Macaca mulatta: one gene and its partner. The protein of the gene in region 2 purifies or fractionates together with the protein of the main gene of each other region. This does not show direct contact. Links are inferred from orthologs where the notes say so. Each region holds a gene or a part of one and is shown on either strand. Other genes may lie near its edges.

What was found. The genes of interacting proteins can lie anywhere in the genome.
Region 1: the proteins of SATB1 (region 2) and TRIM47 purify together in Homo sapiens (affinity purification with mass spectrometry; 4 studies listed by BioGRID and IntAct, with this or other methods). This does not show direct contact. The link is inferred for Macaca mulatta from reciprocal best matches to the Homo sapiens genes SATB1 and TRIM47.

What each region holds. Positions count from the first base shown.
Region 1 is NC_133421.1:85,585,121-85,589,898, forward strand, and holds the start of TRIM47 (E3 ubiquitin-protein ligase TRIM47), read right to left. Parts: upstream 3,190-4,778; 5' UTR 3,157-3,189; coding exon 2,476-3,156; exon of another isoform or gene 2,453-2,475; intron 1,440-2,452; coding exon 1,344-1,439; intron 1,064-1,343; coding exon 833-1,063; intron 670-832; coding exon 471-669; intron 46-470; coding exon 1-45. UniProt on the Homo sapiens protein: E3 ubiquitin-protein ligase that mediates the ubiquitination and proteasomal degradation of CYLD.
Region 2 is NC_133407.1:30,131,888-30,136,136, reverse strand, and holds part of SATB1 (DNA-binding protein SATB1), read right to left. Parts: intron 2,304-4,249; coding exon 1,849-2,303; intron 1-1,848. UniProt on the Homo sapiens protein: Crucial silencing factor contributing to the initiation of X inactivation mediated by Xist RNA that occurs during embryogenesis and in lymphoma.

The DNA of each region.
Region 1 (4,778 bases), on a different chromosome or scaffold from region 2:
TCTCTAAGAGGTTCGTGCTATCGGGGTCCTGGGGCTCAGCATCAGCTGCAGAAGAGGAGATAATGGTGAGAATGCCCCCAGACTGCCCCCCTCCGAACCTGTGACTACAATCCCTTCCCCCTTCACTTCTTCCCAGAGTCCAGAGCCACCAGGGAGCAAGCACCACCCAGACGTGGCACGCTGTGCTCACACGCATGCCCGTTGCCTGTGTTCTGCTCCTTGCCCCACGTGCTTCCCGGGCCACAGCCCCTCTGGAGCTAGAGGGTGGGCTAGGAGAAGCCCCCTCTACCCCAGGTCCAAGGGGCTGATTGATCCCCACAGGGTGGCAGCTCTAGTCACTGGCAGGATTTGGGCTCCTCCCTGTGCCAGGCACAATTTTCCTCCTCCACTTCTGGATGGGCACCAGGCCTGGGGGCCTGTGCGAGAGGCTGGGAGAGGGTGAGTCATCGGGGGAGTGGGGCGGTGCCCACCTTCCGAATCCAGCTTCTGTGGCCCGTCCTCGTTGCCACCCGGCCCCCTCAGCTGCTCCCACTGGTTGGCGCAGGCCACGGCCAGTACGTCTCTCACTGCGCGGACAGCTTGGGAAGATTTGGTGAAGCTGAGCTCCCTCGGGGGTCCAGGGCCAGGGCCACACCCCTCCTCCAGGGCCAGCCTTAGTGCCAGCAGCTCCTGTGCCAGACAAATGCCCATTAAAACTCTGCTGGCCATGGCTCCTCCTTGCTGGGGGTGGAGGCGGCTCTGCCAGGAGGTCATGCACCCACTGTCTCCTCCTCCCTCCACCCCGACCTGTCCCAGCTTCTGTTCCTTCTGTGGCCCCCAGAGCGGCCCTCACCTGCAGGAAGCTGACTGAGTCGGCTTCGGGGACCTGGCTGAGATTCTGGCGGGCTCGGCTCAGGCGGCTGCGCTGTTCCTCCTGTCGCCGCAGGTCACCCTGGGAGCGGCCCAGCATAGCAGCTTCCCCCTCCTCGATGAAGGCCAGCACCTGGGTCTGGAAGCCCTGCAGGGCAGCCGCAGCCTCTGCAAACAGCCGGCTCACCCTCTCCCGCTCCGCCACGGCTGCACTCTGCACAGGATGACAGTAGCGGGGGCAATGAGGGCAAATAACCGTCCTGGACTGTGGCTCCCTCCTTCCCTGACCCCAGCTTCCCACTCACCCTCTTGAGAGGACAGAGGGGCCAGCCTGAGCCTACCCTGCATCTGGGCCAGGTCAGGGGACACTTGTGCTCAGTGGGTATGCGCATGGCTTGTTTGGAGTGAATTGTGCCATGCTGAAAGCATACACTGCCAGGAGTATGCCCACTGCAGGGGAGGACAGGGATGGAGGCTGGGGAGGGGTGTCTGACCTTGATGAGGGCCACTGTGCGCCTGGACTGTGCAATGCCAGCACCCAGTTCGTCCATGCGGTCCTCCACGGCGCTCAAGACTTTCGGCTGCTCAGCCTGTGGACAACACCCTCCATGAGTGTGAGGTCTGGCAGAGGCCACAGCCCTGCCCTGGGGTCCCAGGCCTTGCCAGGGGAGAGAAGGGGGTGACCGGGGAGTGGTATCTGTGCATTGGGTGGGACTGGAGTGGCCACGATGTCCCATAATATGCCAGAGGTGCCTGCAGCCCAGGCTGGTGCCTTTCCCGAACGCCTGGGGGCCCGCAGGCTGACTGGGCGTCTGCCTCCCGTCTCTGACAGGAGGCCCAGTACAGGGCCTTCCGCTGGTCTCAGTGTTACTCAGATGAATTTGAGAACTTCCTCCAGCGGGGAAGAGGCACAGAGTAAGCGAGTTAGGTGCGGGGATTGGGGGTGACTGCACAAGGAAGCATTAAGCTGCCCTGGGGATCACTGTTCCCAAAGAACCTGCATCCACAGTCCAGGCCTGAAAAAAGGGGATTCCGGGCAAATCCCCTAGGTCTTATGAGTCACTGCTCCAGGCAGGAGAGACGGAAAATCCCTTGGCCAGAGGCGCCAAGACCGGGCTGGAGGCCAAAGGAAACTGGGGGCGGGAGGTAGAGGCCGCGGCGCACATGCTCCCACCACTGGCCCCTGGAACAGCTGGACAGAGAATCTGTGTGCCCGGCCGCCCTCCTGCCGCCTGCCACACCCATCGAAAGCCGCAGACTTAGCCCAGGGCAAATCTGAGCTGAGACCGGGTGAGCCCTTGGGCGGCAGCAGGAGCCACGCTACCGGAACCCCGCGGGCCTGACCCGGTTCCCTCCCGCCTACGCCCCCATAGACCCCGGCCCGGCTTCAGGTCCCCTGCCCCCTCTTCGCGTCCTTGTCCCGTTCTCTCACGTCCCTCCTCCCTTCCCATCTCCATCCCGCGAGCAGATGACCTTGTCAAGGCTGGAAGGGACCGCAAAGATCCTCAGGTTAGAGGAGGAAATTAAGACCCAACCCGGGAAGGCTGAGGGGTCCAAGGTCCTCGGCCCGCTCGCGCGCGGTCAGTCACCAGCCCCGGCTCACCCGAGTGTGCCCCCGGAGCCCACCTCCTGAAGCGCGCGCTCCTGCTCCAGCGGCACCAGCTCGTGGCCGCGGTGCTCCTGGGCGGCGCAGGCCTCGCACAGACACACGCGCTCCGCGCGGCAGTAGCGCTCGAGCGGCCGCAGGTGGCGCGGGCACAGGCTCTCCTCTAGCCGGCGCAGCGGCGGCACCAGGCGGTGTCCGCGGAGCGCGGGGCTGCGCTCGTGCGGGCCCAGGTGCGCGGGGCAAAAGGAGGCGAGGCAGGAGAGGCAGGACAGCGCGGCAGGCAGGGCCGCGCCCTCGGGGCACGCGTCGCAGCGCACTGGCTCTTCGCCCGCGGACCACGGCTCGGGCGCGCAGGGGGCCGACGGCTCCGGGGCGCTGGGCGGCGCGCTGGGCACCGAGGGCTCCGGAGCCGGAGCAGGGGCCGGGCCGGGGCCGGGGCCGGGCCCGGGGCCCGAGCCCTGGCGGAGCTGCAGCAGCTCGGACAGCGTGTGGTTCTTGCGGAGCTGAAGGCCGTCGGGGAAGGGCTCCTGGCACAGCGGGCAGCGGGCCGCGCCTCCGGGTCCGCCGGCGCCACTCGCGCCACGATGCGGCCAGAGTGCGCCCAAGCAGGCAAGACAGAAGTTGTGGCCGCAGGGCAGCGTCACCGGCTCCCGGAGCGGCTCTAGGCAGATGGGGCAGCTGAAGGGACCACTGCTGTCCATGGCTCCGCGGCCGCCCAGGGCGCCGCCGATTCTGCTCCGGCCTGGGAGGGACCCGGGCCGTTCGCGCCGCGGCACCGCCCCCTGGGACCTAGGCCAGGGCTCCGGCCCCCGCCCGCCCCCAGCTCGGCCCGCCCCGCAGCGCCGCCCGCCCGCCCGCTGGTCCGCTGACTCTCAGTCCCCGCCCAGACAACGCGGGGAGGCCTCTGAGCCCGCGCGACCCCCAGGGGAGTCCGCGTGGTCCCAAGGAAGGGAGCTGCTGAAAGGGTGTGAAACTGAGGGAGCGCGGGCGGAGAACGCGAGGGGTACAGCGGAAGAAATGGGAAGGGCTCAACCTCCATCCCTCTGGTCCTTCTGGGCCTGGCCAGGGCTCCGCAGGAGCTGGGCGGGTCTAGCTGTGTCACGCCTGCACCTTTGCGCTCGACCCCTCCCCGGCACCCTTAGCAAAGTTCCCGAGCTGCTGACTGCAGAGAAAAATAACTGCTGATGTACATATGTTTTTGCCCCTTAGCGACTCTATTTTTTTTTTTTTTTTTTTTTTTTGAGACAGAGTTCCGCACTTGTCGCCCAGGCTGGAGTGCAGTGGGGTGATCTCGGCTCACTGCAACCTCCGCCTCCCGGATTCAAGTGATTCTCCTGCTTCAGCCTCCCAAGTAACTGGAATTACATGCGCTCACCACCACACCCGGCTAATTTTTGTAATTTTTTGTAGAGATGGCGTTGTTGTCCAGGCTGGTCCAGGCTGGTCTTGAACTCTTGACCTCAGATGATCTACCCGCCTCAGCCTCCCAAAGTGCTGGGATTACAGGCTGAGCCACAGTGCCCAGCCCCTTTAGCGACTCTGTTTACACCCAGTGGGGAACTTGGGCTTTTCTAGATACGAAATGGGAAGTTGATATCATTCCCTGAGTCCCTTGCCTGAGGAATTTAGTTCTGGTCCCTGGACACTGGGGGCACCTGTGGTAGGGCTGGGGGTTCCCCAACTGGAAGTATTTAAAGCTCATCTAATTATGCACTTAAAGTGGTGCGTTTTATTGTATGAGTTATATCTCAATAATGTTAAAACACTACACCGGAATGACAACAGAATAAGTAAAGTAGCGCTGATTATAACCCAAAGTGTAAAATAAACATCTATGGGTCCATGCCGATATAAATAAATAATAAATTAACAAGCCAGGGAGAATAGACACATTTCGCATTGAAAATTCCAAATAATGTTATTTATTATTTTTTTTTTTGAGACGGAGTCTCGCTCTGTCGCCCAGGCTGGAGTGCTGTGGTGCAATCTCGGCTCACTGCAAGCTCCGCCTCCCGGGTTCACGCCATTCTCCGGCCTCAGCCTCCCGAGTAGCTGGGACTACAGGCGCCCGCCACTGCGCCCGGCTAATTTTTTTTTTCTATTTTTAGTAGAGACGGGGTTTCACCATGGTCTCGATCTGCTGACCTTGTGATCCGCCCGCCTCGGCCTTCCAAAGTGCTGGGATTACAGGCGTGAGCCACCGCGCCCGGCCTATTTTTATTTTTTTAGATGGAATTTCGCTTTTGTCGCCCAGGCTGGAGTGCAGTGACGCAATCTCAGCTCACTGCAACCTGTGCCTCCTGGGTTCAAGCGATTCTCCTTC
Region 2 (4,249 bases):
ATTTGTGTGTATGTCACGATGTCTTTGTGGGTTTTTAACTCAATTCAAAAAAGCATTATTGAACTGTTATGTAGAGACCTACTTTTTTTGGCCTAGTATGGAGAATTATTAGTACTTACAATATTTACTAAAATAAAGAATGCTACCAGAAACAGGAATACTTAGAGGGCTGACTTTTCATTCATTTTCAATAATTATCCCCCAACTGAATATAGGTGTCATACTAATTTTACCAGCTAATAATGAACACAGTTTCTTAAGCTATAAAGATATGGAATTAGGTAAAACCACACAACTTTAACCTGAGACATAGCCTTGTGCAACTGCCCTTTTAAAAATAGACAAACGTACAAAAAAAAAAAAAAAAAAAGATGAATCAACTGAAAACAAACACTGAATTAGAGGCTTTGTCAGGTCTCCTAACTCCCCATCTAGTTAAGGCAAGCCAAAAATAAGTCACAGCTGGGATTCTCCTAGGTATGGAAACTCTGCCAACTAGGAATTAATACTAGATTATTTCTGTACCAGAATTTTATTCTTATAATCATAATCACATAATAAACAAAGTAACTTAAATATGAAAGGAAAATGGGAGTCAGGCCAAAAAATAAGATAAATTGACAAAAGAAAGAACAGCGGTAAAACAAAAAAGTTGAAAAGGCATAATGTCCTCATTCTAATTAAAGTTATGCGGTTTTTCTTTTTTTTGTTTGTTTGTTTGTTTTGGTTTGGTTTTTTGTTTTGTTTTGTTTTAGTATACCTGGGCCAAAAATAAACACCATATATATAATGTATCATACTAGTTTCAAAACAAAGAAAAAAATTATTCTCATTCACAGTTCAATAGAATGCGTTTAGGGCTTCTCAAATATCTTTATCTTGTCACCTCTCATATACATCACTTTTTTCCCATGACCCTCTTAAACATCTTCCACGCTGATAGACAGTATCTTCACAGGAATTGGGCCAGGAAGACAAAGTTGTGCACATTAGGGGTATCAATAAGCAGGCAGTGAGGTCTCTACAAATGGGTCTGCAAACTAAGGCCTGCCAGCCACACTTACTCCATGGCCTGTTTTGTAAATAGTTTTACCGAGATACTACCATACCCGGTGCCATTCATTTATTGTCTGTGGCTGCTTTATTACTCTACAGTGTAACTGAGATTTTATGTGTTTCAAAACCTAAAATATTTACTATCTAGTCGATAACAGAATAAAGTTTGCTGATGCCTGGTCTAGACAATGAAGTTTGGAAGACAACAGCATGAGGGAGAGCACAAAGCTTACCAACATATTATGTTAATACATCATATAGTATTTTTTCAAAATGATTGCTTAGAATTAAGTGGATTATTGCTTCCAAGGTGTTAACAACGACGACGACGATGATGACAACACTGCTGTGGAACTTTAATAGGGAACATTTATATACCTAAGTTTGATATGGGCAGTAACATAACATACATGGGAAAGACGATAGGCTAGAAGCCTGGAATCCTGCCAATGGCCTTGACCGAGTCATGAAACTTTTCTTATCTACTATAGTTTAAGATTCCATTATATAAAAGCACAAGCAATGCCAGTTTAAAACATGTTTGACATTTAATTAGTCTTTCAAAGCCCCTGAATTGGGATCAATCTGCACATAGGTTTCCCTTGATTCAGAAGTGTATCATAGGAAAAGGCGTGATAAAATTGAGGCTCCACTAGGAATAGGTAATATGATCACATGGAGAGAGAGAAAAAATGTTAGTACAGAAGTAAAATAATAAACTTCAGTTATAGATGGGACAAAAGAGAGAGAAAAGGGGAGACAACACAGAACCATTTACCAAACACAACTGACCTGAGTTCTGTTAAAAGCCACACGTGCAAATACTGCCTGGGAGATTCCTGCTCGTTTCAGTTCATCGCGTACCCACTGGTAGATTTCGGAAGACACCTCTGTGTTGGTCGAAACCTGTTGCTCCAAAGGCTTATTCATAGATCTACTGACAGGGGGAGGGTGGTTCAAGTATTGTTGGTTTAAGGACTGCTGGGCTAAAAGTCTATTCACTGCATACTGCTGGTTCAGCAGCTGAGCCATCACCAGCTGCTGGTTGACCAACTGAGGACTGATAGGCGTTGATACGAGCCCAGGGTGCAGGTTTGGAAGAGGGGTCCGGACAGAGGGCTGGCTGCCATGGGAGAGCTGCGCAGGGGATGGAGGCTGCTCGGCTGTGTTCCCTGGAACTGGTTGCTGTCCAAAATTGACATGATTGGCGCCTTGCTGGGATAGCTCAGAAAGACTATCCATTTCAACTAAAGTGGACAAAAAGTAAAATCACATTTAGCCAGCAATGATTAGCATTGATAAAGATTTCTAATCACTTCCTAAATTAAAAAAGGGTAGGCACAGGGCACACCCCAAATCCAAAAAAACCAAGAAAATTTCAAGTTGCAACTTACCAGGCTGTGTTTTTTCTCTCCTTTTCTGAACAATTCTACAAACTTTGGAAGTGGGACAGCACTCCTAATCTCATTTTTAAAAAGTGGTTTAGATTTAAGGCATAAAATCAATTATATCCAAATTCTTTCCGACTAGTTGTTCACTCTCACTTATTACCCCAAGAAGGCTTATAAGCAATATTTTTTAAAAAATGGCTTCTAAAAGAATGTCATTTGCTTAATGACAACTAAAAACAGTTAGCTGAGAAAATAAACTTATAATAAGCGACTAAAAATTTTACAAATATATTCTCATGGTATTCATTAACTTTAGTACTCTAGGAAAAAGGTGTAGAAGAAAAAATATGACGTAAAATGTTACCTACTTTCAATTTTTACCTAGCAGTGAATAGAAGTAGTTAACGTAATAAACAAAAATGGGTATAATAGTAAGTGCATATTGAATGCTTGCTGAATATCATATATGCCTTGTTTCATTTTAATTCTAACCATCATGGGCAGTAGGTATATCTGGAAATACTTTTTAGAATAAAGCAAGTGATTTATTGTATATCAAGCCAGCATACCCAGTGTTGCTAAGATCCAAATGTTTTTCTTCAGGAAGCTATGGCCATCACCAGATGCTAAAGACAATCTTGCAGGGAATCGTTCTGGTACGATGGTGATGCTGTCATGATTTTGCAATTTATTCCCACCTACCCAGGATGAATGCTTCTCCCTTGGCTAGGTTCCTCATATGGATTGGCTGAGCATCATCTCTAAGTGTGTAAATGCTTTTCTGTACGAGCAGGAGACTGGTTCGATGCTCTTGGCTGGAAGGGCTGAGCATGAAGCTGTACATAAACAGGAGTTTCCAAATTGTACACAGACTTCCCATGTATAGACTCTAGTTTGATTTTAATCATCAATTCTCTTTTCATTAAATATGCAGGTTTTACATTTAGAGGAACTTTATCATAGTGCTATAGCTCCTGATATATGCAAAATATAACTAAGAATTGGGGAAGAAACCTTCAGTTTCTACCAGTGATATCAGCCCAAGTGGGCCATTCACAGAGAGTAGTAATTCAAGCAATTATTCCAAAAATGATGCATTGTCTTCATTACAGCCTTAAGCTATAAAAGGCAAAGAATCCATTTTGGTAGATGGATGGTTTTTCTTCAAATATTAAGAGCTAAAACATGCTCAAAATTTGGGTTTCTTATTGCTTAAAAAATTTTTAGAAAAAAAGTTATTAAATGAATGTAAAGAAATAAACAGAAATAGATTTAAAACAGGACATAATGCCCATTCCTGTATTATTTTAAAATATATGTTTTGGAGGGTACAAGTAGGTGAAAGAGAATATTAATAAAAATTAAAACATTAACCTTAATCACAGTGTTTGCTTTTGTGAACATTAACAAACTCAACAGGGAGAAAATGCCGTCATCTAAATGCTTAGGTACCATACACAACTTTTATCTGTCATTTTACACTGCAGATAATTTTAGTGTACTTCTTGCATAACAAATATTCACCTAAAGTTATGTGTTAAGATAGAATGCTCTCTTGGAATTAAAAGTTTAGAAATGATGCAATAATTGCTCTGGTATGAATGGTAAAGCAGTATGCTTATCAAAGTGCCCATCCATGGGGGCTGGGGAGTTAGAGCTATAAAAATCACTTGATCTCTATTGTGGAAACTATAAATATAGTTTAAGAAGTTTAATTTCCTTAAAAATTGGGTGTAAAAGTAGGGACTTTCTCATTCAACCAGACAAAAGCAAAAAACCTAAAAGCATGACTTATCACTGAA